Diceros bicornis minor: one gene and its partners. The main gene of each other region encodes a partner of the protein of the gene in region 3 in a complex. Links are inferred from orthologs where the notes say so. Each region holds a gene or a part of one and is shown on either strand. Other genes may lie near its edges.

What was found.
Region 1: the proteins of DOCK5 (region 3) and RHOG are in contact, whole or in part, in a cryo-EM structure (PDB 8XM7), measured with the Homo sapiens proteins. The link is inferred for Diceros bicornis minor from reciprocal best matches to the Homo sapiens genes DOCK5 and RHOG. Residues at the interface, in NP_079216.4 of Homo sapiens: Val232, Phe345, Asn393, His394, Lys395, Gly396, Trp400; in NP_001656.2 of Homo sapiens: Ala121, Pro123, Leu126, Arg127, Arg128, Lys130.
Region 2: the proteins of DOCK5 (region 3) and ELMO1 are in contact, whole or in part, in a cryo-EM structure (PDB 8JHK), measured with the Homo sapiens proteins. The link is inferred for Diceros bicornis minor from reciprocal best matches to the Homo sapiens genes DOCK5 and ELMO1. Residues at the interface, in NP_079216.4 of Homo sapiens: Met1, Ala2, Arg3, Trp4, Val14, Ala15, Ile16, Tyr17, Asn18, Ser22, Gln23, Gln30, Ile31, Gly32, Asp33, Thr34, Glu39, Tyr41, Gly43, Trp44, Arg46, Tyr48, Lys56, Ile58, Pro60, Glu61, Thr62, Tyr63, His65, Leu66; in NP_001193409.1 of Homo sapiens: Ile7, Val8, Lys9, Ala11, Tyr18, Pro19, Leu21, Glu23, Glu36, Asp39, Gly40, Ser42, Asn71, Gly72, Gln392, Asp393, Leu400, Glu401, Lys468, Arg531, Glu535, Leu536, Lys539, Leu547, Gln550, Gln551, Asn554, Arg555, Asn582, Thr688.

The regions. Positions count from the first base shown.
Region 1 is NC_080746.1:58,925,402-58,934,811, forward strand, and holds the start of RHOG (rho-related GTP-binding protein RhoG), read right to left. Parts: upstream 4,267-9,410; 5' UTR 4,151-4,266; intron 2,933-4,150; 5' UTR 2,887-2,932; intron 1-2,886.
Region 2 is NC_080742.1:60,602,409-60,612,039, forward strand, and holds the start of ELMO1 (engulfment and cell motility protein 1), read right to left. Parts: upstream 3,632-9,631; 5' UTR 3,401-3,631; exon of another isoform or gene 3,207-3,400; intron 1-3,206. UniProt on the Homo sapiens protein: Involved in cytoskeletal rearrangements required for phagocytosis of apoptotic cells and cell motility. Acts in association with DOCK1 and CRK. Was initially proposed to be required in complex with DOCK1 to activate Rac Rho small GTPases.
Region 3 is NC_080750.1:68,672,587-68,682,321, forward strand, and holds the start of DOCK5 (dedicator of cytokinesis protein 5), read right to left. Parts: upstream 3,670-9,735; 5' UTR 3,495-3,669; coding exon 3,452-3,494; intron 1-3,451. UniProt on the Homo sapiens protein: Guanine nucleotide exchange factor (GEF) for Rho and Rac. GEF proteins activate small GTPases by exchanging bound GDP for free GTP. Along with DOCK1, mediates CRK/CRKL regulation of epithelial and endothelial cell spreading and migration on type IV collagen.

The DNA of each region.
Region 1 (9,410 bases), on a different chromosome or scaffold from region 3:
CTATTTTCCACTGTCAGTGGGGCAGAGCTGGAGCAGGGCACACGGTGCTCCCCCATCTTGCTGTCCCTGTCTTGCAAAATCCCTAACACTCGCTGTCCGCTTCTCATCTCTCAACCTGTAACAATCCTTGTGCTTTGGAGAAAGGGGCCACAGTTCCTGTCCCTGGGCAGATACTTAGAAACTACTCACACCTGTCAGATCAAGGCTGGCCTGAGACAGGAGGGCCCAGAGTGGGGGCCATGCTCTGAGGAGCCTCTTGGGGGAAGGAGAGTCAGAGCTCTCAGTCTTCTCTCTGCTCTGTGGAGGTATTGATGAGCAACTCCTTAATGCTGAAGCTGAGCCACGAGACACCAAGTTGATCAGGGTTATACAGAGAGTTGGGAGCAAATCCAGGACAAAGACCTGGGTCTCCTAACCTCCAGCCTGCTGTCACTTCCACAAAGAAGAGGAGGTGAGGATTGTTACTCTGGCCTAGGAATGGGCCCATCATCTCTCTGACCTCATTCAGGATGACTTTACCATGGTTTATCCCTTCAGGAAATGGGCCAAAGGAGTCAGGTTGACATCTGAGCCCTTTTTGCTTTTAAGTTCCCAGGCTCTCGTGCCTAGCCCATACTGCAGCGTCTATGATTTAGAACTACCACTACCGGACAGCCAGCCACACCGGCCCTGTCCCAGCTGAGGAGCTCCTCCTCTAGCCTCTAGCTCCTGGGGAGATACCCTCCCCCCATGAGATGAGGACAAAAGAGGAAGCTGGACCCTGGACAGGAAAACCGAGCTGTTCTAAGGAGGTAGCCCAGGTTTTGTCTTTGCTTTCCCTACTCATAGACCCCTACAAGCCTCACCATTAATGGGTCTACACTGCGTATGGAGGGAGGGGTCTTCAGTGTGGGGCCGGGCCCCCATTTCCTGCCCAGTTCCCCAGCTACCACCATTCTAATATCTTCCCAACTGTCTGACTCTAGCCACAACCTCTCATATCTTCCTGCTCATGACCCCCGAGAAGTTCACACCAGCCACCTCACCTGACATAACATCCAGAGACAACTCTCCACATCCTAGATTCCCAGCCAGGATCTGTGACAATCTTATATCAGCCACTTCTTTTCATGCCATGACCTTGACCGTATTTCATTAGTCAAGAGCTCAACGGGTAGTCTCCTAGGTTGCAGCCCACCCTACCCCCACCACATGATATTTTCCCATTTAGATCCCTCCCACCCTGGTCATAGTTTTCCAGCAATGACTTTTTTGTTTTGTTTTGTTTTTTTTTGTGAGGGAGATCAGCCCTGAGCTAACATCCGATGCTGATCCTTTTTTTTTTTTTTTTTTGCCAAGGAAGATTGGCCCTGAGCTAACATCCGTGCCCATCTTCCTCTACTTTATATGGGACGCCACCACAGCATGGCGTGACAAGTGGTGTGTCGGTGCACGCCCGGGATCCGAACCCATGAACCCCGGGCTGCCGCAGCAGAGTGCACGCACACTTATCTGCTTGTGCCACCGGGCCGGTCCCCAGCAATAACTTTCTTGCAATTAGCTCAAACCTCCAGTGGGGCCAGATCTTGCCTGGGAGAACCCGTCTCATCCATCCTATGTTCACCCTCAGAGCCCTGTGGACTGCTCAGTTATGTAGAATCCTAAAATAAGTACTGGTTTGGCAGGCGGGGAGCCAGGACTCCTGGGTGGTTTTTTACTGAGCCTTAATGCTGGGAAAGTGCCTTGCATGCACATCCTTTCTTGAGCTGGGATTTTTTGCAGGTCCCTGGGATTTCCTCCTGGGGCCCAGCCCCCTACACCTTCCAGAAACAAGAGTAGGAGAGACAGGTGGGTGGAAGGACAGGACTGGAAGAAGGGACAATTCATGGGAGAGGGACAACTGTGAGAGGAAAGAGGATAGAATGGGGATCGTGGATAGCCCTTAAATCTAGCTGTGCTTGGGAATCCCAAAAAAGTAGCACTTGCTCCCCTCCACTTCTCTTTTTTTCTAATGGAGAGAAATGAAGAGTAGACTGAAGAAGGTGGAGAGAAGCAGGACCTCTCAGCATGCATCCCAAAGGCTTGAGGAAGGAGCTCTAGAATGGGGACAACAAGAGCTTACAGAGTCAGTGTGGGCTGAAGTTAGACTCAGGAGAAATTCTTGTAAGAGAGGGAGTATGGTCCTAGGTACGAGGGGGAATATTAAGGATGCCTGAGGCAGAGGGGTCAGCAGACTCCAGATGGCTTCCTGGTCACCAAGGCCATGATGCAGCCCAGGACACGTGGGTACCCAGCCTGGGCAGGCCCCGGAAGGCAGCCAGGAAGAAGGGTCAGACGCCTTTGACTCCCACCCCTCTTCTTTTCCTGAATTGGAACTAAAACAGTTAAAACTGAAGTTAGGCCAGCTATAGTCTTCCCTCCAGAATCCTGCCTTTGCTCCCCCCACTTCCTTCCATCACATCTAGCTGACCTAGTCCCATTCTCCCCACCAGACAGTGCTGGAACCAGTAAGCACTGGAGTCAGGCACATTCAGGCTGTCCCCCAGCCTCCAGGCCCGGCCTCTTGATCAAGCACCCCAGGGGCTGGGTGATTTTGATTTCCCACGGCCTCTCTCACCAGTCTTATTCCTGTGTCACTCTACCCTGACTGCTACAGACTGCTTCCTCCTGCCTAACCACAACCTCACCCACTGCAGGTTCCCTTCATTCTGCTGGCTTCCCCTGCTCTGAGCCCTCTCAAGGCTGAGGGCAGTTATTTTGTCTCCAAGAGATAAAGATGTAGACACAGACACTTGCACAGGCATACACATAGAGAGAGGTTTTCCAGCCCTTTAATCATCTCTATCACTGGGAAGTTGCAGCCTGTCTCTCTGAGCTAGGGAGGTTTGAAAGGGCTCTCAAACTCACCAAGTCTTCTACAGCAGATCCTGACCCCCAAGCTGGAGATAAGTGGCTGAAAGAGAAGGAGACAGAGAGGAATGAGGGGAGATGGAAGAAGCAAGAGGGTGGATATGTGTGTGGGAGCCAGAAGCTGGGCAAGGAAGGGAGGGGGCAGCTGCAGGGGACAGAGATGGACAGAGGGGCAGGGTAGGTGAGAGGTCAGGGCCCAGGTATGACGGTGTGTTTGGGGGAAAAAAACCGAAGAAGATGTGAGAAAGAGGGAGACGGAGGGTTTGTGGGTAGAGTCTGAAGAAGGAATGGAGTCAGACAGAATGAGAATGTATAGAATTCAGGGACTAACAAGGGAGCGGGGCATAAAAGACTAGGAGACGGCTCCCAATCATTTCCCAAGGCCAGGGCCTCAGCTGCCTCCCAGAAGCCCTGTTCTCTCCATCTCCTGAAAATAGTCCTGCTCTCAGCGATGCCATCTTGTCAGGGACTATCAGTACCTCTGAATGAGAGTCCTTCTACTTCTAGTCACAGGACAAGACCGGGCCCTTTCCCTCCTCAGTTTACCCCTAAAAAAGCAAGGCCAGGCACCCGTCAGCTAGGCACAGCGGATGTTTGCTCACTAAATACCTGTAGCTTGGTTCCAGGGATGGAGAGGTAGGGCCTCAGAAAAACAGACATACAGAGAGAAAGACTAGGGTCAGCAGGGCGCCCCCCGCCCTCCTGAGCGCAGAGGACCCTCCGCTGCAGCCTGCTAGCGCGGGTCGGTCTTCCAGGGAAGAAGCTTTCTCCGAGGTCCAGGGCTTCAGAGGCTACAGACGCCGCTCCCTCTCAACCCCACAAGTGTCACAACTGCCAGAGCAGAGGGGCGCCTTCTCCGGCCCAGAGGCCCCCTCCTCTCACACACTTCGGTACACCCTCCCCAACTTCCGAGGGCACCCCACCTCGGAGGCCCATCTGCCAGCTCTGAGCTCTTCTCCTTCAGAGGCTTTTCTCTCGGACTGGGAAGCCCTCAGACCTCAGGGGTCCCTCGCGGCTCCCGGGAGCCGGTACAGCCGCCCTGGGTACAGGAACCCACCCTCACCGAGCCGCCCCGCTCTCAGTGGCCGGGTCCCCGCCCCGCCCGGCCGGCCGCGCCCGCCCAACTTGGAGGGAGCCGAGACGCTCCCGCCCGCGGCCTCCCGCCAGCAAACTTCCCGGGTCCGCGCCCGCGCCCAGTCCCGGGCCGGCCGGGCTCCCCTCCCCCGGACCCCCCAGCCCGCCGGCCCGCGCCGGGCCTCACCTGGTGCCCTCCCCGCCGCGGGGGAGCTGGGGGCGGCGGCAGCGGCTCGGCGCTCGAGAAGGAAGTGAGAGCGGGAGGCCGGAGGAAGTGGGGGGGGCGGGCCGGCGGCCGGGGCGGGGCACGGGGGCGGGCCGGGGCGGGGCGCGACCAGGAAGTCCGCGGGCCGGTCCCCCCACCCCGGTCTCCCCCCACCAGCCTCGCCCACCGCCCAGTGCCGGGCTCCCCACCCCAGCCTTCTGCCTGTGAGGCCCATGAGGTCAAGCCTCCTTCTCTCCTCCTGGTCACCCCCACCCCAGTAGAGGCGCTAGGCTTTTGTCCCCCTCCCCGTATCTCGCGCCCACTAACCCCCGCGGGAAGATGCTGAGAACAGGCGCCCCTAGGCCTAGTGCCTTCAGTTAAGCCCAGGGATAGAGCGATGGCCAAGGCTGGGGGCTGGCCAGAATGGATCAGGCTGGGGCAGTCCCCACCCCTGCCCCGAGCCCCGGGGGAATGCAGGGTGGTGGTGATTCAGCAGTGGGAAGGCCCCAGACCCCTGGGGAGGGTGCAGAGACTGGGGGAAGGGGAGCTGGCGTCAGCACCCGGGGGAAGACGAGATCAGCAGAGGCGCAGGCGGAGCCGCGGGCCCCAAAAAACAGGATGTCGTGTCGTCGTTCCGCACCCGGCGGCTCCGCGCGCTTGGGCTCTGGGGAGGGGCCGGGGCGGACGGAGAACGTGGGGCTCCCCTTGCCTCCTCTTCTCGCCGGGGCGCGCAACTGCTTGAGACTGAAGGGCCGCACCCAGGCCTGAGATCGTCCCGGGGCCCTGGGGACCGGCGGTTGGGCGGACTCGTGGGCGCCCTCTGGTGCTTCTGCTCCCAGGACTTGCGCGTGGAGCTCTGACTTGAGACGTCGGTTCAACACAAACTTTCTAAGCGCCAATCACGTGCAGGGCTCCGTGCTAAGTGCAGTGGAGGAAAACGGAGAAGCGTTTAAAGACAGGCTCCCTGTCTCCAAGAGGCTTTCCAAATAAAGAGGAGGAACACCTCTGAGAATAAGTAGTTTAACCCTTTTGAGCCTCAGTTCTGTCTTTGGTAAAATAGAATAACCTCTCCTTAATCTTATAGTTGTGCAGATAACATGAGAATGGATGTGAAAGACCTGCTGTCAATGCCTGGCTCAAAGTAAATACTCAACAAATACCTTAAAGAAAAACAAAACAAAACAAAATTGTAAGAATGAGTTCCCTAAACCCAAGGTGCCTGCCCACATCTTTGGGTCTTTGCGGATTTCATTCTCTCTGCCTGACTTCTTTCCTGTATTGACTGCCACACGAAATCGACTCAGTCTTTCACAATCTGGCCCTAATGGACTACTCCCTGCCTGGCTGCCACGATCCCTCCTTCCAACAACACACACTACCTCTGCCATGCCCTTGATAGTCTCTCCCAGTGCTGTCCAACAAATATATAATGTGAGCCACGTATGTAACTTCACATTTTCTACTGGTGACATTTTTTAAAAAGTAAAAAGAAACAGGTAAAATTAATTTTAATAATATATTTTACTTAGCACAACATATCCAAAATATTATCATTCAACATGTAATCAATATAAAAATTATTGATTATAAAAATGAATTAGACATTTTACATTCTTTTTGTGTACTAAGTCTTTGAAATCTGGTGTGTGTTCTACACTTAAAGTACGTCTGAATTTTGGCTAGACATTTCAATTGCTCAATAGTACATGTGGCTGGTGGGTATGGTATGGGACAGCAAAGTTAGAGCTTCTATCAGATTCAGGCTGGTAAATAGCTCAGTAGATGAATTCATCCTCCATGATCCTTCTGGAAAGACTTCATCTGACCACCCCCCCCCCCGACCCCCCACCCCCCGAGGCAGAGTTTGGGTCTCTTTCCTCCCTTGCCACTTGGGACAAACTCCACCCTATGGAGAAGAGGAAAACAAGCAAGGCAAGGGGAAAACCTCATTTCCCTTCATACCCTACTGGGAGTACATGGCTAGTGCTCGGCATTTGATGATGAAGAAAGAATTGTGAGTTTCCGTAAAAGACATGGTTTAGAGAAGGACCACATGCTACTACGGCTTCTATGAAGCCGTTAAAAATTGTGTCTCAGAACAAAGGTTTTTGAGCTGTGTTCCTAGAGCTCCCTTCCCAGGACTTGAGGACAGGAAAATAGCGGCGCTGTGGCCTTCTTCCCCTTCAGCCAGAGTTGGTTTGCTTTTATGTGATTTATATACTAGTGTTCTAGATAAAAAGTTCATTAAAAAAAAAATTTCCTGCAAAAAATATTTTAAAATCAATTTTAGGGGCATAGTAGGATACACATTAGGTACAGTAGACAAAAAACCTGGATTGGCAGCCTGGGGTCAGACTGCATTTCCTGAGCCCTGGTTGTGGCCCTGGTTCGGTTTGCTTAGTGGGAGATCCTGACTTGGCCTTGAGGATCTCATGGTCTAGTGGGATATGGGACTTCTGCATGTGAAGCTACCGGAGGGGGAAATAGCCCTGGGCTGGGCTTCAAAAGATCTGAAGTCTAGTCTTGGCTCAGCCAGACTGGCTAGTGAGACTTTAGGCTAGGCCTCACCCTTCTCTGGGTCTCAGACTCCTCCAGTGGAAAACAAGGAGTTGAACCAGATGATAGCTTTGAGCTCTAACCTTCTATGATACATTCTTCAGAATAATAATTAAGTAGTTAAGGTTTTAGCAGGTAGCACACTGCTCATCGTTCTTTCATACCATTTAGGTCATCTTGCTTTGTGTTCTAGTTAATTGTATCTGTGCCTAATGTCTGTCTCCCCCACTGACGGTAAGTCCTTTGAGGTTGTGTCTGATTCATCTCTGTGTCCACCCACTGGTCCTGGCACAAGCAGGCCTGAGCACACAGTTGCCTTCAGTATACATCTGTGGAATTAAATTGCATTAATAAAGCACTCATGTGTAGAACCACCAGAGGCCAGGTGACTTGGAGTCACTTTTGTGGCACAGATGTAGGAAGGGCCAGTAAGGCCAGAGGAGAGAGAGTCAGGAGGACTGGTGGGTCTGTCTGCAAAGGCTTCTTGGAGGAGGAGGATGCTGAGCTGAAGAGGGTAGGAAGAGGGCTTTTCTTCTTCCTACTCTCTCACTTGCTTTCCCTGCATAGGTGAGTTCTTGGTACATGGTGTACATTTGTGTTCACAAGCAGCAGAGAGACAAGGACACCGAGCCAGAACATTTATAAGTGAGACAACATATGAAGCACTTGGTGGGGGTAGAATAGAGATACCACAGACAGTTTCTGGAGCCAAACAGTCCAGGATTCAAATCCTGGTTGTACCACTTACACTGTGGTCTTTGACAAATTACAAGTTACATGACTTCTCTCATTCATTCCTTGAACATATACTTAGTGAAAACCTTCTCTGGGCCAGGTACAGTGTCATATGCCATTAATGCAGTGGTGAAAACATAGACAAGTCTCTATCCAGATGTAAATAGCAAGGGAGATAAATCTTTTTTTTTGTTTTTTTTTTTGCTGAGGAAGATTAGCTCTGAGCTAACATCTGTTGCCAGTCTTCCTCCTTTTTTGCTTGAGGAAGATTAGCTCTGAGCTAACATCTGTGCCAACTTCCTCTACTTTATATGTGGGTTGCCGCCACGGCGAGGCTGGTGAGTGGGATCCGAACCTGTGAACCCAGGCCGCTGAAGCGGAACGCGCAATCTTAACCGCTACACCGTGGGGCCAGCCCCTGGAAATAGCTCTTAAACAGGTAATCATACAAAAGTACAGACTGCTACAAGAGCATATAACAGAGCCATTTAGTTTCATTTTAAAACAGAAATGACAGTACTTTGTGCTCTGTGGGATCATGAGGATTAAATGAGATAATAAATGGAGTGGCTAGCAGGTTGCCCAGACTACAACACATAAACATTAGTTAATTTCTTCATACACCCATGACGTTCTCAGGTTTTTCCCCCTCACCAATTCTTCCCTCTTTCTCAAGGTGAAAATGCTAAAGCTGACTCAGTTCCCCTAAAAGAGCAGGGTGGAGACAAGGAGGAGGAGAAAGGCCCTGAACTGAACTCACTCCTGCCTTGGTGTCTTCCAAACGGGTTTCCCCAGCCCAGCCCTCACCGAGCTCCAGCTCCTGGAGTTCACCAGTGGCCCACAAGGGTCTTCTGCTCAGTCCCAGTCCTAACCTCTTCAAGTTAACTCTACATCTGAGTTTCCCTTTGTCTCTGATGTGGCTCCAAAGACTCAGCCTTCTTCGGGCTCCTCTTGATTCCCTGGTCTCTTCTCTCAGCCTGCCTGAAGAGTAGAAGTAGGAGTCTCCCCTTCGTTGCTACCCCCAAAGACAAGCCCGATGTCCCATTTTGTGACATGGGAAAGTGATAGGCAAAACAGGAGATAGCAGAAAGAGTGAACAGGGGAAGTGGCAAATGAAACAAAGTTCTAGAGTCGTGTCCTCTGCTCATTGTTCCTGATTCCCTCTGAGGAACCAACTGGATAAGATTAGGAGGGCCAAGGGCATGCCCCATCCTCCAGGAGGGTGCCTCCTCCCAGGCAGGCAGAACAATAGCTGTCCTGTTTGCTTCCAGGACACCTTTGTATCTTTGAGCTTCTCCAAATTGGGTGGCACTCAGGTCATCTGGCATAATCTCCTCTGGGAAATTTCTCCTTCAGCCCTGGTGTGTTCTAGGAGCAACTCAGCTTGCCCCGAGTCATACAGCAGAGCCAGGATGTGAATCTAGGCAGTCTAATTCCAGAACCCCTCCGTCTCACCCCATCCGATCCATATGCCTCTGCACAGCCTCTCTGCTTTAGGCAGTTACTTATCCCTCCTCTGTGCTCCCTCACCTGCCCCTGTACCAATTCCTCTCAAGACATTGTCAACAAGTACTAATTACTCTTCATATATACATATTTCCCCTAAAAACGGAGCTCTTTGAGAGTAGGAGCTGGGTCGTTAAGAACAGGTACTCAGTAGATGTTAAATGAATGAACATTGGCAGTAAGATTCTACAACTGATTCTGGAACGGGAGATGATTCTGTTTGTGAAACTAGCCTGGGAATAGTTGTTAGAGGCCACCATCTCTCTCCTCATTCCCTACCTTCCCAGTGATGACTGTACTTGCCATTTTTGGACACCAGGGAGCACCACTGATAACAGCCCAAACTCAGGGATTCCTACATGTTTCTGAGCTGATTTAGGACCTTCGTTACACTTCTACTGAAGATTCCCTCCCTTTCCAAATGAAAGCTTTTGGTAAACAGAAG
Region 2 (9,631 bases), on a different chromosome or scaffold from region 3:
CCATAGGAATGATTACCTCTAAACCTTTAGAGTTAAGAAAGATGATAATGTAAGCTAAGTGTGCGCTCAGCGGAGCCCCTTGGCACACCCCCAGCCACATCCTCTCTGCAAGGGCTTCAAAGCACTCCCTTCCTCCACCTCTCCCCACCCATTCACACCAAACACCCATAGGGGAGTAAATTACTTTAAAACACTCAGCTTTGTCCTATCTCAATACCATAATTTAATAAACGCTTTTGATTGAGCAGCACTGTAGAAACCCCTCACCTGTTTTCTCTCTTTCATTTGTCTTCTCCTAGGCATTTCTTATCTTCTTTTTCCCCTGCCTCTGCCACCCAGCTTCTTCCTCCCTTACAATCTCTCCTCCTCTGCCTTCACTTCCATCTGCTGGGAGAGCAGGGTAGGGTACATGAAAGTCTCTGGTTTCACTCCCCTCACAATATGCCCTTCTTCCTAGGGGAGCATTTTTTTGGCTAAAGCAACACGCGCTTAGAGAAAAGACTTTCTCTAAGAAGAGTGATGAAACAAACACCAGATCTGGAGAGGGTATGCGTAATTAACAAAGTGTAATGGTTCTCCACTCTCCCAAGGAATCACTTCTCTGTTCCTTTCTTCGGTCTGAACTTCTACAGGAAGAGTCTCCTGAAGGCAGAAAAGGGTCTGCAAGATGGGCAGCTGGGCATGGGGGAGAAGACAGAGGAGAAAAAGTAAAAGCCCGTTACCTGGGGTTCTTAATTGCTGCTGATGCTGCAACATTTTCCTGGTATATTTCCTTGGTGAGCCTCTCCCATAATAAGCACCTCTTCTTCAGTCAGTCAACAAGTATTTATTGAGCACCTGCTATGCTGGGAATCAGTTTAGATTCTGGACCTCTAAACAAGACAAGGTTCCTGCCCTCATGGAACTTCCATTCTAACGGGGGAGACAGAGAATAATCAAATAAACGAATATATAATGCCAGGGGTTAATTAGTGCTAAGACGGAAAATTTATACGAGGTAATCAGGGAAGGCCCTCTGTAAGAAGACAACTGAACAGAGACCTGAAGGAAGCAAGGGTGTGAGCCGTCTGGACATGTGGGGATAATCTCCTTGTGCAAAAGGAATAACATGTGCAAAGGCCCTGGGGAGAGAACTTGGTGAAAAAGAAAAATGTAAGGTAGTCAGAGTGGCTGCAGTTAAGAAGGGCAGAGAGATGAGACAAGGGAAGGTTGGAGGGGTGTGGTGTGGATATGGCCATCAATAGGACCACGGGTTCTATAGCCCAATGACTGCTCCAAGTCCTGAGTTCCATCAGACCCAGGTCTGGGCCTGCCTCCCAGCGTGCCCCTCCCTGACACCTACCAAGCTTCTGAGCCAGTTCCCTTCCCTCCTGACATCATCTGCCCTGCAGAGTTCCAACATTCCAGGTCATTCCCTCACAATTTCCCAAGAAGACAACCAGTCCATCTAATTAAAAAAAAAAATGAGTAATAAATGTAGTAGAAAAGAAGGCAACATGCACATTTAACCACAGCCCTCAAGAGAGAGGAAATGTACCACAGAAAAGAGCAGAGGTTCAGAAGGTCAGCTATAAGAAAAAGTCTGCTATGTGACAGCAGGACATCTGGCCTTCTAACTTATAGTTCCCAGTTTTGAAAACTGGGGGACAATGATCCTTGAAACGACCTTGGAAAGCAGGTATGGAGGTGAGATAACACGAAAAACCATGACCAGAGGAGGCCCTTAATAACAGCTGCTTCCAGCCTTTTCCATGTAAAAGTAAACCTGAGAGGGGTTAGAGCCCTCTAGTTCCCAAAGTTACCCTCAAAGAGTTGATATACAGGTCTAGGTCATTAATTACTTTTATTTTATGGACCAAAAAAAACCTCAAAAATTCTTCCACAGCCCCACCCACCCCACCCGCAAGTCACTGGCAGGGCCAAACGGGAAGCCCGCGGCCTCTGCCTCTGGAGGCAGAAACCTTGTCTTAGGTTCTCTGAAATCTTAAACAAAACGAATTAGATTCGCATCATTTATGGCCAGCAGTGTTAGCAGGCCCATGGTCTGGGGCACAGGGCATCACAAAATATGCTCGGTGAGTCACAGGAGCTGTCCAGAGGCCGAGTCCCTCCAGGGGTCCAAGTCCTGAGGCTTCAGGTCAACACAGGTCCAGCCGCCAACCACCCCTGCCCTGAACTGCCAACTTCAAACTGCCCCCAGGCGGGAGAGGGTCACTCGGCGGGAGTCCCCAGCTCCGGAGACCCTTGCGATCACCCATACATACACACACACACACACACACACACACACACACACGCTCACTCTCGCCGCCCTCGCGCGCGCCCGCGACACAACGCGGACTTCCCAACCCCAAACACACGCGCGCACCCCCGGGCCGGCTGAGTTCTGTATTTCCTCTTCCTCAAAGCAACTCTATCGATCTCGGCCGCCCCTCTCCGCTCGGATTCTAGGGCCCCCAGAGCTCCGCTGCCCCCCTTCTCTGAAGGCGCGCCCAGTGCGCCCCCTCCTCGATGCCAGGATCTCCCATCGAAGCCCCTGCCGTCTTTCCCGGTCCCGGCGGGGACCCTGAAATGTCCCCGGGAGGCGGGTATTTACTAACAGTGGCCCCCGGGACTCCCAGCTGCCCTAACCATCCCATTCCGTCCCTCCGGGCCCTCCATCCCTCTAGCCCATCATCGCCCCCTCCAAGGAGCGCGGTCGCCGGGGGATTCCCTCCCATCTGCGAGTGCCAGAGAAAAGCCGGGAGTCCGAGCCGCCAATCCTTTCTCCAGCGCAGCCTCTCAGTTCTGCAAGCCCGCAATCCCACACTCTCTCTGTCCACAGTCCCCCAGCGCTGACTGCGCAGCCCTCCGGCAGCCCCCTCCAGCCGGCCTTGGCCGAAACATCTCCGCGGCTTCCCGGGCCCCGCGCTCCATCCCCAGCGCCCCCTCCCTCCTCTTCTACTCCCACTCCAGCCGCCCCCCTCTGCCCAGACTTCCCCCAACTGCGGAGCGCCCTGGTGCGCCCGCAGCCTTCATCCCGCAGGGCGCCGCGGCCACCTCCGCCCGAGCCGCGGCGCCCCCAGGGAGGAAACAAAAGTGTCTCCACGGCGCCCAGCGTCCCCCAGAGCAGGACGCCTCCTCCTTGCCCCAACCCCAGCTTCCTCCCCGGCCGCGCTGAGGTCAGCGAGTCGGGGCGCGGCGCCAGCCCAGGAAACTTTACGAACCTGCCCGGGGTCTCAGGACGGCGGCGGCGGCGGCGGCGAGGGTTCCCAGCGATCAGGGCTCTGACGACCAGCGACCTTTGAAAGGGGGCCAGAGATTCTGTCGCCTAGCTCGGGGCCGCGGCGGTGTGGGTGGCTCTGCCTCTATCCCGTGCCCATCTTCGCCCGCTCTCGCTCGCCCGAACACACGCACTTACACTCCGGGTCGGCCGGCTGCTGCGCCGCCGGCTGCCGCTGCTTTCACTTCCTCTTCCTTCCTCCTGCTGGCCAGAGACACATTTTGCATCTGCAAGCCATCCCGAGATCAGCCGCGAACTCTCCTCCCGAGCCGGCGCTGCGGAGTGGCCGCCACCGCCCCCGGCACCTGCGCCCGGACACGCGTGGTTGAGCGTTCGCCTCCCGCCCGCGCCCTGGTGCCTGCCCACTGTACTTTGCCTGGGGGGTACCCACGACTTTTTGAAGTCCCCCTACTGAAAAAGAAGAAAATGTCAAACACCGTGCACGCCTCAGATCTGCTATAAATAATATGTGTGCAGATCATGACTTCTCAGATGAGCTCACACGAGCGTTTTGCAGGCACTAATTAACTCCGTCACCCTCATAGCGCCACCTCCGGGAGGCCGAGAGCGCGAGGCATCTTTTTAGATGCTTTCATTTTCGGCAACTGGTTTGGAATTTTGGGGGGAAACTTCCGTGGGCTGTTTCAAGGCTACTTTAAGAGGCTGTGTATTTGTTTTGACGCTGTGCCTCTACCTTTGGACAGCGTGGCAAAAATGACAACAGAATGCTTCCTCCGCTCACAGTCACTTATGCATTTACCGACTACAGGATTTATTTCTAATCAATTAAGCCAAGGACTCCCTAATTTTACATAACTTTACATAAAACAAGATGTTCTACCCCCAACTTGGTATTTAGGGTACATCACTTAATTCATGCAACCTACTTCAGTCACTTTCCAAGCAGAAATCAAGCACGCTAACTCCCGGCCTAGCTGCTAGGAGGGAAATGACAGTTGTTGGAAGGTTGCAGGAGAAACACCTGTCCTCTCCAAATTCATAAATATCTACATTGGCTCTCCCAGAAAAGGCAAAGGCAGTCGCTATGCATTTCCCTCAGACTGGGAAAGAAGGTAAGCTGGGAGCAGGGAAGCATTCGAATCTAAGGTGGAAGGCAAAGCTTCTCTTTAAGTTTCAACACCCCCCAGAGGAGATTTCAATTTTAACCCTGTTCTGGCTGTCCATTAGCAGCCAAGAGCTCCAGGCAGCTATTGAACGCTTGAAACGTGGCTAGTCCTGAGATGTTCTGTAAGTGTAAAACAGACACGGGGCTTAATGTGGAAAATGATGTAAGAGCGTGTTAATTTTAATGTTGATTACATCATTTCAAGAAATGATAGTAGCTTAGACGTAATGAGTCAATTGGGTTAATGTATTGGGTTAAGATATAAATATATATATTATATATATATACAATTTAAAATGAGTTCACTGATTTCTTTTTCATTTTTAATGTGGCTACTAGAAAAAGTAAGATTACTTTAGTAATCTCATTAGTGGCTCACATTATATTTCTAATGAACAGCCCCAATCTGACCCCTTATTATATGCATAACTTCCAGAGGCAGTATTAGTAGCAGGAATACTTAGGTCCAGATCGTTATAAGCTGATAAGTTAAAGCAGGATGATTCCAGGAAAGTAACTTTTCTCTATTTCCTCATCTGTAAAACTGTAATGATATAATAATAACAGACAACAGGGCAACTATCAAATGAGGTAATTTAATAAGCAGTCAGTAAATGGATGCTATGAGATACTTGTAATGATAAGTATGAATTTGACCCACAACGTTTTAGCTAAGGCATACAAAGACCTTAACATTAGTGCAGACATCATGAGCACTCAGTAAATGTTAGCTGTCATAACTGTCCCAAGAGTAAAGAGGGAACTCTGTGTCCTCTCCTTGAACAGCAATTAGACAAATCCACCTCCCTGTAACCTTTGGTCCCAGCTCTGCCCTCTGCAGTCAACATGGAGTAAGTCACATCCTTCCTCCAAGAGATAACCTCTCAGGTCTTTGAAGACAGCCATTGCATTCTACCTAAACATTCTCGTCTGAAGATTAAACATTCTCAGTTACTCTAACTCCTCTTCATGTGAGATGGTTTCAAATCTCTCTAATCTTCGCCATTTTCCCCTTGAAGGACACCTGTCTCTGCCCTTTAAAAAAAAATTTGTTGTCATAAAATTAATTGACTAGTTAACCATTAAAAACAATTAATACAGCCTGAGCTCTTGTCAGTTATTTTTCAAATACATCTCACTGTTGATCCCAGTGCAAGGGGAAAACTGGAAATTCCTTGCTATGTTACTGTTAGGCCATATCCATGCTTATGGGGTTCGTCTTTGGGACAGAAGCCCTGGGTCCACCTTCTCTAAGTCTCTTTGGATTTGATTCAGGCATCCAGTGTCTCCCCATGTCCACAGAGTAGATTAGAACACTAGAGTCCTGGATGACACCCCACTAAGGGGCTCCCTCTGCCGTGGTGGGGCTCAGCATACTTTGGGTTCACTGGTTCATTCAGTTACTAATAACCCTCTTAACTATGCAATTGTCAAGCCTTATTTTTCTATTATATTCATAAGGATATCTTAGAGATGTCAAATGCCTTAGAGAAATCCACCTCTACCCTAGGCTTAGCTGGTGGTCTGCAGTGGGCACAGTAGAGTGGTGGTGTCATGTACAAAGTCTCCATCTCTAGACTTGGTTGTTGAGTATAAATCCCAGCATTGGCATTTACTAGGTGCATTACCCTATGCAAGTGACTTGACTCGTGGGATTAAAACCACACCTACCTGGGAGGGTTGAGTGAGGATTAAATGAGTTAATACATGCAAAGTTCTTAGAAAAGGGCCTGGCACATAGAAGCACTCAATAACCGTTAGCTTAGCTATTATTATCCATAACAGTCCTCTGATCAACAAGTCATGTTAACAGAGTCCAAAAAAAGAGCAACACCCTCCCTTTTCCCATATATCAGTTTCTCCCCATAGGGGAGGGAGAGAGCCTGTATCATCGCTCTGATGTTATTTAAGCTTCTGGTCAAACCTGGACCATTCAATTGTTAAGTTACACTGCAGTAGAGAGGACAGCCATTTTAGGGTAAGGACCGGAATCCAAGTGCAGCCCTTCAGTAGCACTTGCAGTGGGTCCACCTGGGCAGGGCTTAGACTCTGCAGATGGGCCAGCCTCATCTACATCTCGGGTGGTAGGGAAGTGGACTCAGGATCTCCTCTGCAGGACCACCCATCTCAGTTTCAGGATGGAGAAGAGGAAGTAGGGTAGGGATAGTTGGCTAGAGAACAAAACTCAGTGGACCCTCAAATCTAACCTGCTCTCTCCAACCGTGCTTACAAGACGGCTTTGCATTGTTGACAGCTGGAGAGGTGTGTTTGGGGAAATTTCCCATATTTTAGTACCTTGATCCTGTGTTTCCCATATCTTTATTCTTCCTTGTGTATGCAGAACTCCAAGATAGGAGGGGTAACTGGAAGTTTATCAGAATATCACCATGAAACCCCAAACTGCAAAAACGGCCTGTTATATTTTTCATCAATGATGACTCATGTTGATCAACTCTTTCTAAGTGCGCACAAATATTGATTTCTACTTCATTAAAAAAAACTTATTGGACTTCAAATGGACGTTGTGCATTTAGTAATGCATTTAGTAATTTGCTTCAGAATTCTACTCCAATCAGCCTCAACTTCCTTGATCTATAGCTTGAAGAATCTATTCTCTTTTCCTGTCTTAGAATCAGGCTCATGTTGGCTTGACTCCAGTCTACGAACAGCTCTTGGAGGCAGAGAAAATGGCCTCAGCTCCAGGAGGCTGCGACACCAGAGGTAACAAAGTCCGGGCAGCAGACAGACACCTGCACTCCAGAGCCACTGGGGTCAACCCTGCATGCAGACCTCAGTTTCAGAGTCTGTTCCCTGGGGAACCTGACCTAAGACATCAGCTGTTCTCACGTTATGGATATTATATCCTCTCTTATTTACTGTGAGGATATTAATGATACTTCTTTCAAATTCTTCTTTTATTTGCCCTATGAACTCTATTTCCTTAGGTTATAGTTACTCAATGAAGACTGATGTCACCTTGGCTGGGTGCTTAACTTGGCGTATGTGATTCTCTGCTCTCCTGTCACTGCTGTTTCTGTTATCTGTAACTTGCAACTGATGATCCTGGGGAAGAGGGAGACGGGCTGCCCGGTGGTGGTCCTGGGAGTTTATGTCTGTGTGTGGTCGCACCCTCTCTAGGAGATTTAAATGATTAAATGGAGCCCAGCCTCTTCAGCCCCAGTGCTCACATTCACTGCTCCACCTGGATACGAGGCTAAGGCCACGAGCCGCTTAGCAAAGTGGTGATGGAGGGAGCAGAGTAGCCCCACAGTTAATCACCCTGAGTGCCCTTGGGCATCCTCCTGCCTCCATGTGTGTTTACACTGGACTCGGAGCGCCCTTGACCCAAATTGCTTCTACCTCTGTCATAGAAATATTCTGTTTGCGTGTTGGGCTGTGGTTTCCTCCCATTTTAATTTTCTCTATATCTGATCCAGTCTGCTCTCCAAAACTTCTGGTGGCCTGCTTTTCTTTCTTTTTCCTTCTTCCTTCCTTCCTTTCTTCCTCTCTCCCTCCCTCTCTTCCTTCCTTTCCTCCCTCCTTCCCTCCTTCCTTCCTTCCTTTTTTCCTTCTTTCCCTCCTTCCTTTGTTTTCTCTCTCTCTCTCTCTCTTTTCTTCCTTCCCTTCTTCCTTCTTTCCGTTTTTTTCTGGAGTGGCCACAACCCCTCTTTTTATATCTTTTCTTTCTTTTCAGGGGGTTTGGAGCTAGAGGAGGGGTAGATGTGTGTGATTAGGACACGATATTTCCAAACTTATTACTTTTACATTTTCAAGGTTTATTCCGTTTTCATTCTGCTGCCTTCTGTCCTGACACTATAATTAAAGTTTCTTTATATATTCTCTATTGGTTGATTCTAAAAATTGGAAAACAATTTACAGTAATTACTCACAGCTGAGCCAAATAGCATGCGTGGACCTGAAGAGAAGGAATATAATCCTATGTCATTAAGCCTGTCACCCCTGAAGAAGAATGCAACAAGGGTCAAGATTAAACAGACTCTGTCTTCTGACATTCTGTCAGTTGTCCAAAATTTGGGTATATTTTAATTTACTTCAAGGAGGCACAATGACTTTCTCTGTGATTTTTTTCCTCCTTGGAGTTTTAAATTGCCAAAGCTTATTAAAGTCTTCCCTATTCTTAAGAATGGAATCCACTTTACTCTTGAAGGCAATCTCCACAGAGCCTCAGATGTTCTGTCCCAGTGTGGCCTACTGCTAGTGTTTTCCTAGGATTTCTTCTCATTACCCTCTAGTTATTTCCACTGTTTCTTGAAGACCTTGTCTTCTGCTAAGACTCCTTATTTCCCTGAAATATGTACTCAAATACTTTTTTTTTCAGAAAGTAACGAATGAGAGGTAAACTTTTCTAAGAATCTGCATGTCTGAAAATATCTTTTTTTGCAGTTACATTTGACTGGTAGCCATCAGAACGCTGAAAACCATGGCTTATCATCTTCAAGCTGATAAGAAGTCTGAAGCCAAAGTGATCTTCTTCTTTTGTGGTTTGCCTCTGTGAGCGTGTGCGCCTGTGTGTATGTGTGTGTTCATTTCCAGAAGCATTTAGAATCTTCTCATTATCCTTGCATCCTGAACAGTTATCAGGATGGAGATGAATGTGAGTATTTTCACTGTTCCCGCCGGCACTACAATAGGACTTTTCAGTCTAAAGACTTGTGTCTTTTCAACCAAGAGAAATTTTATCTACATTTTCTTCATTTTCACCCCATTTTCTATCGTCACTTTTCTGGAAGTTCTATTTAAATCGATATTGGACCTTCTGTGTCAAGTTTCCATATCTCCTACTTGTCTTCCTTTTTTTGCTCTGTGATCTTTTAGAAGAATCCTGACTTTATCCTCTGACCCTTTCATTGAATTCTTTTAGCATCAGCCATCATGTTTTTTAGTATTTCTGATTGTTCCTTTTTTCATAGTATCCCATTCCTCTTTTAGGGACATAATATCTTCTTAAATCTCTTCTGAGATTTGAATTAAAAGCTGTTGTGTTTTTTTTTTTTAATTCTCTCTGTTTCCAGAATCATCTGTTAAATTGAGTTGCACTTTTTCTGTTTGTTCGCCTTAGTTCTTATCTCTGGGACTGATGGTTTTCTTTGATAGTCTAGTGATCCTAGATTATCAGCTTATATTCCCTAATATTTATATCTGTGAACATCGAGGGTATATGTGTGGGTGTATTCAGCCATTATTAAAGTCTGTTTTCCCAGCAGACCTCTCCTCAGAGTGTG
Region 3 (9,735 bases):
AGAAAAAGGAAGAAAGAAAGAAAAACATTTTTCTATGGCTGTGGGGAGGAGCACTCATTCCTACAGGTCATTCAGACTCACCTAACGCTAGAGATGGAGCCAACAGTGCTGTTTAAGAAGGAAGAAAGCCCAGCCGAGATTGCATTTCAGTCCCTGTAGGACAATCTACGCTATATGGGGACAGCCAGCAGTGGCACCAAGATCAAACAAGACAGCACACTTACCAGCTTCACTGTGCACAGTTCAAATCAAGATCAAAGCGTTACCCTCATACAGAGTAGCTGTGAGTCATTAAAAAAAATGGCCATCACATGGTTTCCTTCACCCAGAAGCAAAAATCTGTCCAGCAGACATTCTGAAGCGACAACAATCCCCCCAAAAGTCCAACAAGCCAATTTTCCCAATCATATTTAAATGAGGCAGACTGTTCTGTCTCCTTGTTTTCTCAGCAGCACATTTCAGTTTTTTACTCGCAAAGATAAAGACAGACTGAAGGCTCTCACTTCGTCCACCTAACGGAACCAAATAAAACGCATACTGGAGTGAATGAGACACTAAAATCTAACAAGGAAAAAACTGCATTAAATGGGCGCAGGCCCAGTGGCTAGCTTAAGTAGGCGCGCTCGGCTTCAGAGGCCCGGAGTTCGCTGGCTGGGATCATGGGCGTGGACCTATGCACCGCTGAGGCAGCCGTGCTGAGGCGGTGTCCCACGCAGAAGAGCTACAACTCTACAACTATGATACACAACTGTGTACTGGGGCTTTGGGGAGAAAAAAAAAAAAAAAAAAGAGGACGATTAGCAACAGATGTTAGCTCAGGACCAATCTTCCTCAAAAAAACAAACAAACAAAATAACCCTGCATTAAATCGTCACAGAAATTAGGTCAGAGCTAGAATGCTACCCCAACTCCAAGGACATGCAATGACTACTGAAGGCAGGCTCTATACCTGCTACACCCGGTGAGTGACAGGGATACAAAACCATAAGCTGAACCCGAGGATACGAGGAGAAGCAATGAAATAAGGTAGGCACACTGCAGGCATTGTGAGGAAGAGGCGGGAATGCCTGGGGAGGTCTGGTGAACACCAAACCTGAAGGAGGCACTGGCAGTGGATCTGAGCCCCGAGGACTGTCCCGAGCTGGACTGTGGGATGCAGAGGTGGGCGGGCACTCTGACAGGGAGCAAGAACAAGGGAGCAAAGTCCCAGAGGAGGGACTCTCCAGGCCTGTGGCCTATTGCACAAGAGCTAGAAGAGCAGTATCTGCGGGGGGGGGCGGTAAATGAAAGAAGCCAGGAGATAAGGTTGGTTGGTGAGGACACTTTGAACCAGATTATGGGAATCTTGAAAGTTGGGCTCAGTTACATCTTACCCTGCAGGCCAAGGAAGGCTTCAAATCAGGGAGGTGATATGAACAACAATGTGTTTTAGCAATAAACAATGGAGATATATCTCATCAGCTAATCTGTGCTAACAGTGGTCCTTCTGTCAAATCCAGATTAAGCAGAATATATTGTGTCTAATGAAACAAGTGTCCAAAATTATATCCTGGGGCAATTTTGCTAGCACCTATGCCCTGGAAATGCAATTCAAATACTTTTCTTGATGGAAGATAAAAAACATGGTAACCTGACTCCAGAACAGGAAAAAAAAAAAAATCAAAAAGAGAACATATCATACTTGCTTCTATGACTATGGCAATAAAAACCACATTTGGGAGATCTGTTTGCATCACCTACACTGAAGTCATACTGGTTTTGGAAATAGCTTTTATCCTCTTAAACAAAATCAGAATTGATAACTTTCTTAAAGTAGTAATTAATGATTAGGCGTTGCTAAACACGCTTTAATTTAGTAAATACTAGATAACATTCAAAAATAAAGAAATTGAGTCCATCTATTTTAGAGCATTTCACTTCCAAAACCACTGGCTACTTACTGACTGGCACCTGAGTAGGAGTCCCCGTCTGAAGCGTCATGACCAAATCATGACGGGGTGGTCTGGGGCAGGAGAAACACCACCTACCTGTTTCTGAGTTGTAGCCATACCAGAGTGCAAGGATTCTAACAGAAATTTAAGGGGAAAAAAGTTTTTGGAATAGAGGGAAAACAAGCAATTATATATCTAATTACATACACACAAACATATATATAAAGGATCTCAATCTAAGAGTAATATAGTAAATATGAGAGAGTTTGTTTCTTTAACTGACTCGGGGCTACAGAGTTGAAGAGCACCAGGGACGTTGAGTATCCGTGAAACTGACCTCGCCGTCAGAAAGCTCAGAACAGGTGCTGGGACGGTTCCCTCCCTAGTAACCAGAGAGGTGAGGAGAAATGGGGGCGGGGCAGGGAGGGAAGTGAAAGATTAAGTTACAAACAGGCCAAATGAATGAACCTAAGAGGAAGTGATAAAATTCTCAACACACACAACTGCGTTTACACCAGGGAATCGCTCCGAAGTCGAACTGCCACTGTAATCGCCCCGCGAACAGCAGCGTTCCCACATTTCAGCAACCTCACTCCTTGGTAGGAAGAAGGACCACGGCTTTTCACCTGGGTCAAAACCCCACACAGCCACCGTTCCGGGGCCAAACCAACAGCACTGTAATCCCTCCGCACGACAGGGACTCTCTAGCACCGCTGTTACGAATGCGAAGTGCCGGGCGCGGGATCTGTCACAGTGTTCTTAATAAAATGCCCTCGTCTTATCCCACGACGAAACTCGGGATTCAGAAGGCAGTCCTCACCCCTCTCCATATACGCTCCGTTAGGAGATGAGCGTCTGCCCCATCGGCCCCAGGGGCAGCCACCCTCGTTCCCATGCCACACACTTCCTGTCTCTTCCATCACCTCCCCACCACAACTTTAGTCTCCCATTCAGTTTACAACTGTTATCTGGATCCCAGGCCCTGGGAGGAAACGAGGGGGCGGAGGGCGGCTTTCTACCCCCAACTCCTCACTCGGGGCTTCAGAGACAACCTAAGAAGAGGGAAAGCAGAAAGCACTGGGGCAGCGAACACCACTGGCATTCCTCCGACCTGGGCTGGCTACAAACTACTGAATGAAACCATACGGATGGGGAGGAGGGAGGCGAGCACCAGAGTTGGGTGCCCCAAATGCATAAGAGGCGAGCACCGTCGCTTTTGACGTTTCTCCTATGCAAAGTGCTGGAGCTTTGGATTCGGGAGGATTACCTGTCCCGGAGCCCAGCTGCACTTCTAGCCACTCGGATTTCCCAAACTCAGAATGACTTCCCCCACGGGGCTCCAGGAAAGGACTCCGACTCCCACCCGCCCCCAGAACTGCTGCAGCGGGAGCCGAACCCCCGCCTCGGGCAGCGCGCGCGCCGAGTGGCCCGGCGTCCGCCGCCCAACTTTGCGCAAGGCAGGGCGGCTCCCGCGAAGTTCCCGGCGGCCGGGTCGGGGGCGGGGTGGGGCGAGCACTCACCAACCCCGTACTTCTGCCTCTTGGTCGGGATCCAGCGGGCCATGGCGGCCACCTCAGCCCGCGGCGGCGGCGGCTGCAGCGGCTACAGCTCCTGGGGCGCCGGCCGCCGCCGCGCCGCGCTCCTGCGCGCCCCGGGCTCCTCCGCCATGTTCCGGCAAACTTCGCCCGACCCCGCGAGCCGGCGCCCCGCCGCGCCGCCCGCGTCCGCACGGGATCCGCTCCGGCCCCGGCCTCGGCCCGCGGTCACCTGCTGGGCCGGGCGGCCGCGCCGCTGTGCGCGCCCCTCCCGGCGCCGCCCCGGCCCCTCCCGCCGGCCGCGCCCTCCGCCCGCCGGGGCCGCCTCCGCGCCCGACCCGCGGGCGCCCGGCCTCCCGCCCGCTCCGGCGCTCCGCGCTCTCGCCGGCCCGGGCGGGCGCGGGCCCCGCCTTGCGCGCTTCCCAGGAGCAGCTTCCCAGTGCAGACTGGGGTACGGTTTTTTCCTTGTGTTTTGCTTTTTCCCCACCCGGATTAAACCCCCGAGACTGGATCCCGTGGGGCGGGTTCCCCCCGCGGGCGGCCCGAGGGCTGCGCCGGAGGCGCTGGGCACACCCAGGCTGGGCGGCCCGGCAGCGGGTGGGCGCGGGGTGCGGGGTCGGCTCCCACTGCGCGCGCCGCAGCTCCTGTGGGAACTAGTATGAGTTGATGAGTTGCTTCTCGCCCCCGGGGCACCCCCAGTGCCTGGCACTCAGCGGGCGCTCCGTAAATATTTGCTGAATGAATGAGCAGTTGACTCCTGCGTTCACTCTCTAGAGCTTTAACTGACACCGTGAGAGCCGGAAGCCGGACTCCGGGGCAGACATGATCTCCTGTGGCCACCGTTTATCGCCTTCAAAGCAGGCGCATTTGTCTTCTGGTAAATAGAGAACTGATGCAGGGGAGACGGCCTCCTCAGAAGTATCAAATACTTTCCTAGCAGAGCCTCTGTGGGAAAAAATTATTCTAACTTGGAAATCCTGTATCCCCAAAACACCCGGAGGAGTCCCTGGCTGAAGCAATTCAAACCTTCATGCTCAAGGGAAAAGTCCGCCCCAAGACGTCCCGCTTCCAACAGACCAGCATCCCTGCGGAGAAGGGGACCTGGCACATCCACGTCTTTTCTCGTTCATTGACTGTATTGTTTCGACAAAGAGCCCAACGCAGAGACTGATCGTTTGAACTGCCCTGGGCTCCTGTGGGCGCTCTCTAGAAGTCCCCTCCCGGAACTCACTTTTTCCTGGAGAAGCCTCAAGAATGAAAATTGGCTCTGAGTCCGGGGTGAGATGGAGGGATTGCTACCTCACACAGAGAAGTAAAACCTCAGAGTAGTAAAACCTCAGAGTAATGTTCACCGTCTGAGAAAATGCCTCTTGAAATAAATTGTTTGGTCCTTGCAGTCTCTGAAGGTTTTCTGCCTATTTGGAACATAAAAGGAAAGGAAAATAAACAGGTATAAAATAGAGTGAAACTTGATTGGAAAATTAGTGCATTTTAACTTTGATACTTTTTGCAAATCCAGATGTGAAATTAAAAAAACAAAACAAAAAAAACGTCTTGTTCGCAGTGGGTAACTCCTAGGGCTTACTTTCTTCTCCATCAGCAAATAGGCATTTATTAACAAGTGCAATGATAATTTAAGAAATCTGTCGCTTTAGACTTAACATGCAGAAGGAATTCCATCTCCCCAAAAATAATTTCTCTTCTGCCAGTGACATTGTGATTAACCTAATTTCCCAGGTTAGGTAATTTCTTCTTCTTTCCACAAATATTAAGTGCCTAGTAGGTGTCAGGCTTTGTTCTACAGATGAGGGCACAGCAGCTTCTACCCTTGTGAAGCTTCCAGTCTACAAGAGGAGAGGAAAACAATGCCAAGTAAATGTATGCCAAATGAGGAGGAGCCAGGAAAGAAAAATCCAAAGCAAGGAGGCTAGGCCCCAGGGATGCTGCTGTTTACTGAGTGGTCTGGGAGGTCGCCTCTGATAAAGTAGCATTGAAGGACAGACCTGAAGGAAGTGAGGATTTCAGGGGAAAGTATTCTGGACATCAGGAACAGCAAATGCAAAAGCCTGGAGGCATGTTTTTGGCAGGTTCCAAAAACAGCAAGGAATCCTGGGTGGTGAGAGATGAGTAAGGGGAAGAGCGTGGGAGGAAACTTGGTCCAGAAGGCACAGGGTGGCCGGATAAAGCATTTGAGGACTTTGTATATGACCATGACAAGAGAAGTTTGCAGGGTTTTGAGCCAACCAAGGACATGATCCCATTTGCCTGCTGTGTGATGAATAGACTGTAAAGACACAAGGGAAGACACAAGAATCTCAGATGGATGGAATGCTATTTCGGTAGTTCAGGCAGGAAATGAAGATAGTCAGGTCCAGGATGGTAGGGTGGAGTTGGAAGAGAGGTTGTGTTCTTGACATACACTGAAGGTAGAACCAACAGGAGGGCAGTGTAGGCAGAAGGGAATTTACTGATGTCCTAGACCTCACAGTGTACTTTTATCAACATATGTTTTTGGAAACTTTCGCCCAAAAACTATGCTTGTTTTTTTTTTTTTTTTTGAGGAAGATTGGCCCTGAGCTAACATCTGTTGCCAATCTTTCTCTTTTTCTTTTTTCTCACCAAAGTCCCAGTGCAGTTGTATATCCTAGTTGTAGGTCCTTCTAGGTTCTTCTGTGTGGGATGCTGCTTCAGCATGGCTTGATGAGCAGTGAGTAGGTCTGCGCCCGGGATCCGAACCAGCAGATCCCAGGCTGCTGAAGCTGAATGCACGAACTTAACCACTATGCCAACTTGCCGGACGCCTTTGTTTTTTTTTTTTTTTTTTTTAAAGAGACTCACGACATACACTTCAGGCCCCACAAACCTTTCATCTTGCCCTTGGGTATGAGACACAAGATAGGTCAAGGATGACCCTAAGATTTGGGGCTTGAGCAATTAGTAAATAGAGTTGCCATGTTCTTGGTCATCTGTGATATCTACTTGGTCTTCACGCTTTGTATCCCAGTTGTTCTGTACTGAAGTTTCCCTTTGATATTTCTTTAGGACTCACATCTTCACACCTTCCTCAGCAACTCCTGCTTGTGGACCATGAGGAGCTGAAGTGTTTGGCCTTGTGGAACAGGGGCTTCACAAAGTCACTGCGGTCGTCTGCGTTCAAGGAAGTTGGATGACCAGTGTTCTCTAACCACTGGTCTAGTTTAAATTAATACACATCAGAGTGTTAATGCTCATCCAGTGGAACTGGGTTTCTCCCAAAATGATTTCAGCTGCTTCACCCCGCCTTGCATTGCAGACTTTTTGCAGAACTTGAGGTTTGAATTTGGGCACTGGATGTTTCAAGTCTAACAATAATTGCGATAAGAGGGTTGGAGGAAAAGGGAAAATTTTAATTACAGCTTTCAGTATGTTTATGCTTTTTCTTCTGAAGACTGAAGTCCACCCGCTTTGTAATATCAGATGGTTAAATCCCAATTTAAAAGTCCATTTAAATCATAAAAGCAGAGCTATTCAAAGTCTTTTATTAAAATGAGGCTTAAAATTAAAGAGTCAACCAGATGGGTAGGTGGAATAACAGCATGATTCCCAGAAACATCCTTTTCTTTTTCCTCTGATATCTTTTCAGAAGAAATAGTAAGCATATTCCACAGCCAGAGACTCCAACAGCCACACAAATACACACACGCTTCTGCCTGCACCAGCATTCACGTGTTCTGCGTGAAGGCCTTGGAGGAAGACATGAGCATACACGAATGTGGAGGCTAGTTTGACGTGAATATTGTGACTGTCCCTTACATTGCCTCAGAGAATAGATGGATGTGTTGACAACTGGCAAGGGCATCACTTCTTCTGTTGATTACCAGGTTTATTTTGCGAAATCTGGCCGTCTTGATTGCTTCTCTGAGAGAAGCTGCAGCTTCTGTTAAAGAGCCCTGGAATATGTAGAAAAGCAGGAAATTAAATGCCTAAATTTGATCCTTATTTGGGACAGGAGTGAAGTTTCATTCTGCAGCCGCTTCGTAACAGTGACACTATTACTATATGGTTTAGATAACTCATAGTCAGCAGATTTTTCTTCCTATTACTTTGAGGTCAGTTAAGAAACACACATTTGATCTAGAATTTTTATTTAATACCAGGCAGATTTTTCCATGGTCACCAGCTGTAGTGTAACAATAAATAACTAACTGTGCCTGGCACTATTCAAATCAACTTGTTTAATTCCCACACAACCTAATGAGGTAAATTGAACTATTGTTGTCCCCACCTTACAAATGTGGAAATTGTGGCTCAGAACATGTTAAGATGTTGTCCACATAGTTAGTGGCAGAACTAAATTCAAACCCTGGGCAGACTGGCTTCAGTGTCCATGGTCTAAACCAAGGGTCAGTGAACTTTCACTGTAAAGGGCCCGTATATATATATTTCAGACTTTGCAGGCCATATGGTCTCTCTTGCAACCACTCAACTCTGCAATTGTAGCAGGAAAGCATCCATAGTCAATACTAAACAAGGGTATGGCTGTGTTCCAATAAAACTTTATTTGTAGCCATGAAATTTGAACTTCATGTAATTTTCATATGTCATGATATATTATTCTTTTGATTTTTTGCAATCATTTAAAAATGTAAAAAACATTCTTAACTTGCAGGCTGTACCAAAACAGGTGGGAGGTGGGATTTGGCCTTTGGGCCACAGTTTGCCAACACCTGCTCTGAACCATGACTTCCACCTTTTGAAGTGGGTGGGAAGGCTGGGGCGGCCTCCAGAAGAAGAGACAGGGTAACAATGGCGGCACGCGTGTAGGACTTTCCCACCAGAAGTCTGTTGCATAAGGGTGTGGAAGAGAAGTCATTGGAAGAGAAGGACTCTAAATAGTAAAAGTTGCCTTAGAAATCAGAGGCCGGGCACTTCTGAGAACAGTGAGTGTGGGGAACTGTCCACTGGCCTAGCCCCTCCAGGCTCTATTCTGAATGATAGGAACTATAAATAAAATAACGAGACCTCTAAGACATTAGCACACAAGCAACTGCTCTGGTGCCCATTGAACAAGTAGACTTCTAAAGAGGGGAGGGAGGCATATTCCTTGCAACATTAATCACAATATCCAAGATGTGGGAACAACATACGTGTGGACGAATGGATAAAGAAGTTGTGGTGTGTATATATACCGTGGAATATTATTCAGCCATGAAAAAGAAGGAAATCCTGCCATTTGTGACAACATAAGTGAAATAAGTCAGAGAAAGATTTGTCTTTCTGTATGAAAGAAACACATACAAATACTGTATGATCTACTTATAGGTGGAATCTAAAAAAACCAAAGTCATAGAAACAGAGAGAAAAATGGTGGTTGCCAGGGTCTGGGGGTGGGGGAAAGGAGGAGATGTTGGTCAAAGGGTACAAACTTCCAGTTATCAGATGAATAAATTCTGAGGCTCTAAAGTACAGCACGGTGATTATAGTTAACAATAGTGTATTAGATACTCGAAAGTTGCTAAGAGGGATCTTAAATGTTTTCATGTGGGCTATGAAGAGAAGCACATGGTAATTATGTGATGTGATGAAGGTGTCAGCTATAGCTACAGTGGTAACCATTTTGCAATATACAAGTGTATCAAATCAACATGTTGTAACCTTAAACTTACGCAGTGTTAAGTGTTAATTATATCTCAATAAAGCTGGGAGGAAAAAGAGTGGAGGGAAGCATTCTCATGGGTCTCCTGATGGAAATGACAACGGGTCCTGGCTGAGATCATGGTGCTAGAAGAAGATGTGACAGCATCTGTTGAAAGGTTTGCAAAGCCAAGTGGATTCTGGTGATACCACCTGGCAAGGGTCAGAGCAGAAGAAAAGAAAGGAAAATGTCCAGATTGGTGAGAGTACTCAGATACACACCCTGGGGCTTTCCAGAAATACTTGAAGGGAGACTTGGCAGTGAGAGTGTTGAGACTGTGGAACCAGCACCAGGTGGGTTATATATATATAATTGACTGAGATATAATTGACATAAAATTGTGTAAGTTTGAGGTATACAATGTGACGATTTGATACACATGTATATTGTGAAATGATTACCAAAATAAGGTTAGTTAACACCTCCATTACTTCACATGATTACAATTTTTTGTGTATGTGGTGAGAACAAAGATCTACTCTCTTAACAATTTTTAAGTATATAACACAGTATTGTTAACTTTAGTCACAGTGCTGAACATTAGATCCCCAGAACTTATTCTTCTTATAACTGGAAGTTTGTACCCTTTGACCAA